Linked DNA regions of Oryzias latipes. The protein of the gene in region 1 purifies or fractionates together with the protein of each later gene. This does not show direct contact. Links are inferred from orthologs where the notes say so. Each region holds a gene or a part of one and is shown on either strand. Other genes may lie near its edges.

Region 1 (4,283 bases):
CACACAGATTGGTTGGATGTCATGTCGACGAATATGAAAAACAAATCAAAGCAAATCCCTTAAGTAAAATTAAAAAAGCTATTGAAACGTCAGCGCAGGACTGAAGTACATACCTTAATTTCAGGAGTGCTGAATACATGCTGACAGAATGGGACTTTAATCTATTGCACCACAAGGAGAGACAAACTTGGTGGGCGAACAGACATATATTGAATGTCAATGGTACTGTACATAGATTGTATATCTAGTTTTAACAGCCTTATTTTACTGGATTTGATGCATTTATGACAGAAGTACTGCAAAATGTAAGAAACTAATACAGCACAACTGTTTTCTTGGGAACACTAGCACTGAAAAGAGGTAGTCTCGCCACAAAAGCATTTATTTTGATGACTGTATTGTATATGATGTAAAAAAAGTGTTGAGAGTTTTAGCTACAGATGTTGATGACCCATGTGTTTGGTTTTCCAAGGTGTCTGGATAAACGTAATGGTTCTATAAACCCCTAAGCTTTTCCAGCTATTATCTGCTTTCACGTCAGTCAAAGATGCTTCTGTAGACACCCTGAGATACTAAAGCATGTCATGTCTGTTTCTATGAAAAGTCCTGTAAAATGCTGCTGAGCTACTGACCCATCTTAGATGCGATGTGTATGTATATTTTATGGTTTTGTACATCTAATAAAATTGTAAATAAAGATAGGACTCATATTCATCATTTCCTTAATTACCAGAAAAGAACCTTATTGTTTAGTGTGCACAAATTTCATTTGACATTAGAGTTTAGTATGCAACTGTTTGTCTATATTTGTCTGCTTAAGAAAAACACCAAATAAATCATTACTTGATTTAACTTGCAACACATTATTTAGCCAAAACAAGGTGCATTTTTTAAAGAAAATACAAATATAGGAAAGCTTATGCAGCACAAAAAATAGACCAAGTAACAAATTAAACATAAAAAACAAAATCAGTTAAGGTTAAGCTTTTTTTTATTTTAGACAATTATTAAAAACTTTGCTTCAAATGTGATGACTTTTTTTAAAAATAAATATGTAGTAAATCTGTGTTGTGTGCAAGATACTTTTTAAAGTTACTTCTTTAAAAATAAGCAGTACTTTGTAAAATTTTCACCAAAATAAATAAACCCTTTAAGTGGAAGACGGGTTTAGACGGCTGTCGTCAGTCATTTTAGATCTCCATCTCATTCTGTTGTATTTTTCGTACATGATCATGGCAGTTTAACAAACATGATTTATATAAAAACATAGAAACTAATAAGTACAAAGTAAAAATATTTTTAAAATCCCCTAAATATGTCATGTTTCAAATTCAAAAGACAAATTGTAAACCTCAATAGTTCTTGAAATAAAAAAAAATGTAATATTTCAAATGTCCGCGTCTTAATGTTTGCGGAAGTGAGCCTCTATTTCCGGAAATGACAAGTCAGCTGATGTAGAATCTGCTTATCCTCTACTTGGCTCTACGGCGGACGGCGTCGTTTCTTAGGGTGCATTCGTCTTTTCTCCTTTGTCCCGCAAAAAGAGTCCAGCAGGGTTTGAGTTACTGCGACGATGAAGCTGGTGTTAGCTGCCGAGGCTGCGTGTTTGGCGTGTTTGGTGCTGCTGAGCCAAGCAGCAGCAGCAAAGGTAAGGCTAATGCTAGGCTAATGCTAGCTGACAGCACACAAAACATGGGCGAGTAGCTTACTAAACAGGAATTACACGTCTTAAAATTCTGTCAGCGACAGACACCTTCCCCTTTTTGTTGCTCGCGTGCTTGGTCAGATAGATAGATAGATAGATAGATGGATAGATAGATAGATAGATAGATAGATAGATAGATAGATAGATAGATAGATAGATAGATAGATAGATAGATAGATAGATAGATAGAGATAAAAATGTTGTCATGATTAATTTCTGTTAAGACTTCCTTACTAAAATGTTAATAAATGTGCTATTTCTGATCAGTTGAACATTTTTTTCCTTCTCTACCGAGTTACAGAAAATCTACCTTTATTAAACACAGCAAACGCCAGAAAACAACTGTCCCCCCTTTTTCTTTCATAAAAGCAGACATTAAAGGGAATCTTTGCTATTTCAAAACTACATTTATATGTCAGAAGAATAATAATAAAAACATAAACAGGTACACCAAAGCGAAACAGAAATGCTGCCAACATCCATCAGAACTATTATTTTGGAAACTTTTTTTGTTGCTACTTTGGTGTTATGTACCTGGAAGCTGGATTCCTGTGTTTTTAGTCTCAAGTCTTTTGATTTCTTTTGGCAGCATGTTGTTTCATCATAGAAACTCATACTGTGTATGTAATTATTCCAGAACATCGTTGGTTTTAGCTAAGAAGATCTAAAGCCACCATGCAGTCTTAGGAAAACACTCATTTTTACATTAAAAATCTTTAAGATCCAAGATTTTTATTTTAGCAAGATTTTGAACTATTTCAATAAATAGTAATTACTTCAGTTGTATTATTTTATCCTGTTATTGCTTTGCAAATCTATTTTTTGGTAAACTACAAGTTATAAACTTAATTTTTTGATATTCTTAAAGCTGCTGTGATAACATCACACAAACATGTCAAAACAAATGTCTGAGTTCAATCGACTGCTGCATTTAAAACTTAAACACCTGCTTGACGTAACTTTTACAGAATTCCGAAGACGTTCGCTGTAAGTGTATCTGTCCACCTTACAGAGGCTATGAGGGACATATCTACAAACAAAATGTGTCTCTCAAAGACTGGTATGTAACCAAATGCCATTGTATGTTCCCCCCCCCCCCTTGCTGAATCTTTATCATATGGATGATTTTGTCTCTTAAGTAACTGCCTCCATGTGGTGGAACCGATGCCAGTGGACGGCAAAGATGTGGAGGCCTACTGTCTGCGCTGTGAATGTAAATATGAAGAGAGGAGCTCAGGGACTATAAAGGTGAAGTCAGATTATTGATTTATTTTTTATAAAGTGTCTCTCAGACTGTGTGTGTGCTGGTTTGTCTCTGTATGTACCCTAAAAATGTAGATCTTTTCTGCCTTTAACCCCATGTTTGCTGGGATGGACTCCAGCAACCCCTGTGACCCAATTTAGGACACAGAGGGTTCAGATTAAGGATGTATAAAGTTTTTGATTATTCTTTACATTGCAAACATTTCCTTTTTTTTAAAATACTAATTTGTAGATTTTTTAAAAGCTGGTATTCTCCCTTTTTATCTTGCATATAAACAACAGGGGTATTTTATTTTTTATATGTGACAGTTTCTGACTTTGCACTACTTTTGTATGAAAAGTATTTATATTTATAGTTAAATATAAATATATAAAGAAGTTTAATTTGATCAAATTCAAGGTTATGGAAAATACTTGCTCAACGTTAAATGTGAGGCATGCTATGATTTCTGAGTATGTTTTTTGTTCTCCCTTCTCATGTATTTAGTTTACCATCATCATGTACCTGTCCATTTTGGGCCTGCTACTGCTCTACATGGTGTACCTGACTCTGCTGGAGCCCATGTTGAAGAGGCGGCTGTTTGGACACTCGCAGCTTATCCAAAGTGACGATGATGCTGGGGTAAGTGTTCCTAGCAACATTCAGGAGTCTCAAGGGCAATATGTATAGTTGTTTAATTTTTTTTTTCTGTGAATTTTAGCAGGTTTGATACTTTGAATGGTCATAGTCACAAGACTTGATCAGTAAATGTTCTCCCTTTGCACCAACCATCACGTGGAAGTTTTTCATGCAGTACGAGTAAAATTTAACAAGCTCTTGTAAATCAGTGCCGTACTTTCCCACTCCTTGGGAGGCTCTGAGAAATAGAAATCTGTGCAATCATGCAAAGAAATGTAATTAGGTTGCCCTCTAACAAGTTTGGACTCCTTTGCATGCACTGTAATTTACCAAAATATGTTATTTTCATGCAGATTTTACAAAAAATTAAATGCGATATTCTAGCAACATTGGCTCAGATTGCGGCAGTAGTTCTGTAGAATTGTGGTGAAACTGGAAAGTGTGTCATCTATACATTTAGATACTGTGTTGCGTTCACTTAAGGACTGCCTCCAGCAATCTGGCCAAGCTTGGAGCATTTCCTGGACTCACATCCAGAACCTCTTACTACTGTGCTGCTGTGAATCACATCACATTATCTTTGGTTTAAAATGGAAAAGTTTTACATCGACGGGACTCAATTTTTTGCCTCAGGGATGGACTAGGCACCAATGAGTATTGGTTGACCAATAACGTGTGCGTTTTTAAAGTGCAGGA
Region 2 (3,652 bases), on another chromosome or scaffold:
TGAAACTCAACCTTCTACTTGAGCTTTTATTTGACCTCTGTCCTGCTCCTCCTCACTGCCCACTCTCCTCTGTCCCCAGATCAAGACAATCCTGAGTGGGTTTATCATCCGGGGTTACCTGGGGAAGTGGACGCTGATGATCAAGACCATAACCCTGGTTCTGGCTGTAGCATCTGGCCTTAGCCTGGGTAAAGAGGGTCCTCTGGTCCATGTGGCCTGCTGCTGTGGGAACATCTTCTCCTACCTCTTCCCCAAATACAGCAAGAACGAGGCAAAGAAACGAGAGGTAACGTGTGTGTTGGTGTTTTCAATTCTCCCTCGTTTTACTGCTGCATGTTTTTTCATCATTAACGTGTTTCACTTTCTCAGGTCCTCTCTGCTGCATCAGCTGCTGGTGTGTCTGTTGCTTTTGGAGCACCAATTGGAGGTGTTCTCTTTAGTTTGGAGGAGGTGCAGCAGATTTGATTCTTTATTGTAAAAAAACCAAAAAACATTATGCTAACAACTGCATATTTAACAATCAAAAATGTTCCTGTCTTTTATCCAGGTGAGTTACTACTTTCCACTCAAAACTCTGTGGCGCTCCTTCTTTGCTGCCCTAGTGGCGGCCTTCGTCCTGCGCTCCATTAACCCGTTCGGAAACAGCCGCCTGGTGCTGTTCTATGTGGAGTACCACACACCATGGTACCTGTTTGAGCTCATTCCCTTCATTCTCCTGGGAGTTTTTGGGGGGCTCTGGGGAGCCTTTTTCATCCGAGCCAACATCGCCTGGTGCCGGCGGCGCAAGTCCACGCGCTTCGGTGAGAAGACAATCTGTCATTAATAGGGATGTCAGAATCCGATCACGTGAACGGAAATTGGGCCTGTTGATGTGGTTAATGACTCAATCGAAAATTGGATGTTATAACCCAATCAGGGATCAGACATTTAATTTATTCTTATGTCTGTCCTGAGGCCGGAGGGTCGAGGGTTCAAAACCATGGCTGAGTCATACCAAAGACTATAAACATGCCCAAATGTAATACTGCTTGACACTCACCATTAAGGGGTTGGATTTGGGGGTTAAACGACCAAATGTTTCCCAAGCACAGCTTTGTCTTCAGCTCACCGCTCCCCTAGGGCAGCGGTCCCCAACCCCCAGGCCACGGAACGGTACCGGTCCGTGGGTCATTTGGTACCAGGCCGCACAGAAAGAATAAATATCTTACATTCCGTTTTATTTATTTCAGAATCTGAAAGATGTTTTATGTTGAAAAATTGCCCGATTTTCTCCATCCGTCTATGTCACTCTTGAAGCAGGCCATGGGGCTCTTCTCGGTCACGTGATAGGTTACCGCTAAAATAAGCGAAAATGAGCAAAATGAGTAAAAAACAAACGTCTTTGGAAAGTTTCTGTGCCAAGGGGGAAAAGGTCCAGCCAGGAGACAGAAGAGGAGCATTTGACTTCCAAAAAAAGAAAGCTACATTTAATAGACAGTACTTCTTTTTAGCACCATGAGAGTGGGGAAGGGGAGAGGATGATGACACCTATGCGATGTACAATGTCATGCGTGTCAAAACAAAAGTTCAAAGTACGTTTTGTCACGTCTCTGTTCCTCCTTTGTCGTAGCGTTGCTGCATCTTAAAGACTGGTCCGTGAAAACTTTGTCTGACGTCATAGCAGTCCGTGGCGTTAAAAAGGTTGGGGACCATTGCCCTAAGGGGATGGGACAAGGATGGGACAAGAACAAATTTCACACGTGTGACAACTAATTGGATTTTAACTATAACTTCATAAAATTAAACAACCTTTGATTCTTTTGAATAGAAGTCATTTACTATGCAAAATCTTTAAGAATTTTCTTCCATAACCCTCTTCAAACTGAACATGCAAGAGGTGACAGTGGAGAGGAACGACTGAAACCTCAGAGGAAGTAGACAGAGGAAGACCAGCTATCTGCCTCAAAATGTTGTTACAAAAATCAATGAAAAGTCTTAACAGGCACAAAAAATGCAGAATTTTCTAATAGAGAGAGGAAATGTAGCAGTTCACAGTCGAGATCCCTTAGTGTGTGAGTTAAAGGAAATTACTTTGTCAAAATTTACTGAGATTTGCAAGTGTATCATTTGTCTGACTTGCTTTGGATTTTATTTTGAAGGGAAGTACCCAGTATTGGAGGTGATCCTGGTGGCGGCCATTACAGCAATAGTGGCTTTTCCGAACCCTTACACCCGTCAGAACACCAGTGAGCTGATCAAGGAGTTGTTCACCGATTGCGGCCCTCTGGAAACTTCTCAGCTCTGCAAGTACCGCAGCCAGATGAACGGCAGCAAAGCTTTCACCGACGATCCAAATCAGCCGGCGGAGCCCGGGGTCTACTCCGCCATGTGGCAGCTCTGCCTGGCACTCATTTTTAAAATCATTATGACCATCTTCACATTTGGGCTAAAGGTGATCCCAGGAGACAGAAGTATGATATAGTTTTACCCTGCATGACTCTCCCAAAGTCCAATCACCATCTGTCATCCTCAGGTACCATCAGGTTTGTTCATCCCCAGCATGGCCATCGGCGCCATCGCAGGCCGAATTGTTGGCATTGCCGTGGAGCAGCTGGCTTATTACCACCACGACTGGTTTCTGTTCAAAGAATGGTGTGAGGTGGGGGCGGACTGCATCACTCCAGGGCTTTACGCCATGGTGGGAGCCGCGGCCTGTTTGGGTAAGTCCAAAAATTACCAAGTAATGGTTTAACTGGAGAAAAAAGTTAGAAAATCGTTGAGAAATTTGACTCTCAATGTAAAAATGGAATGATTTTCTTTCCTGGTAGGTGGTGTGACACGTATGACCGTCTCTCTGGTTGTTATTGTGTTCGAGCTGACGGGTGGGTTGGAGTACATCGTCCCCCTCATGGCAGCCGTCATGACCAGCAAATGGGTGGGCGACGCGTTTGGCCGAGAAGGGATCTACGAGGCTCACATTCGCCTGAACGGATACCCGTTCCTGGATGCCAAAGAGGAGTTTACACACACCACGCTAGCCAGAGAGGTGATGAGACCGCGGCGCAACGACCCGCCTTTGGCAGTCCTGACTCAGGATGACCTGACGGTGGAAGAGCTGCAGAGTGTCATCAATGAAACCAGTTACAATGGTTTCCCAGTCATAGTGTCCAAGGAGTCGCAGAGGTTGGTGGGCTTTGCTCTGCGCAGGGACATCACCATTGCTATAGGTAGGGGAGGAGAAAAGCATACAAAACATACAAAATCCAAGATTTTTGAAAAAGTTACCTTTGTTTTCTTTTTATAAATCTTTATAGAAAACGCTCGTCGGAAACAGGAAGGCATTTTACTTAACTCCAGGGTGTACTTTACCCAGCATGCGCCTTCACTGCCTGCTGACAGCCCTCGGCCCCTCAAACTGCGCTCCATACTGGACATGAGCCCCTTCACGGTCACTGACCACACCCCCATGGAGATTGTGGTAGACATCTTCAGAAAGCTGGGGCTGCGCCAGTGCCTAGTCACACACAACGGGTAAGTTTATTGTTCTGAAGGGTAGGACGTGCTGAAGGATCCCTCACGCCCTCGTCTCACATTCTACCCGATGGGAGGCTCACAAACACATGTACACATTGTGTTGCATGGGCTCTCTGATCCTGCATGAACTGGCTGGTTG

The links. The genes of interacting proteins can lie anywhere in the genome.
Region 2: the proteins of tmem9b (region 1) and clcn3 purify together in Homo sapiens (co-immunoprecipitation; 3 studies listed by BioGRID and IntAct, counting the BioPlex papers as one, with this or other methods). This does not show direct contact. The link is inferred for Oryzias latipes from reciprocal best matches to the Homo sapiens genes TMEM9B and CLCN3.

What each region holds. Positions count from the first base shown.
Region 1 is NC_019861.2:19,775,331-19,779,613, reverse strand, and holds the start of tmem9b (transmembrane protein 9B), read left to right. Parts: upstream 1-1,422; 5' UTR 1,423-1,573; coding exon 1,574-1,648; intron 1,649-2,673; coding exon 2,674-2,765; intron 2,766-2,844; coding exon 2,845-2,953; intron 2,954-3,455; coding exon 3,456-3,590; intron 3,591-4,283. UniProt on the Homo sapiens protein: Enhances production of pro-inflammatory cytokines induced by TNF, IL1B, and TLR ligands. Has a role in TNF activation of both the NF-kappaB and MAPK pathways.
Region 2 is NC_019876.2:18,924,807-18,928,458, reverse strand, and holds part of clcn3 (H(+)/Cl(-) exchange transporter 3), read left to right. Parts: intron 1-79; coding exon 80-286; intron 287-369; coding exon 370-450; intron 451-547; coding exon 548-800; intron 801-2,138; coding exon 2,139-2,431; intron 2,432-2,512; coding exon 2,513-2,699; intron 2,700-2,807; coding exon 2,808-3,206; intron 3,207-3,293; coding exon 3,294-3,510; intron 3,511-3,652.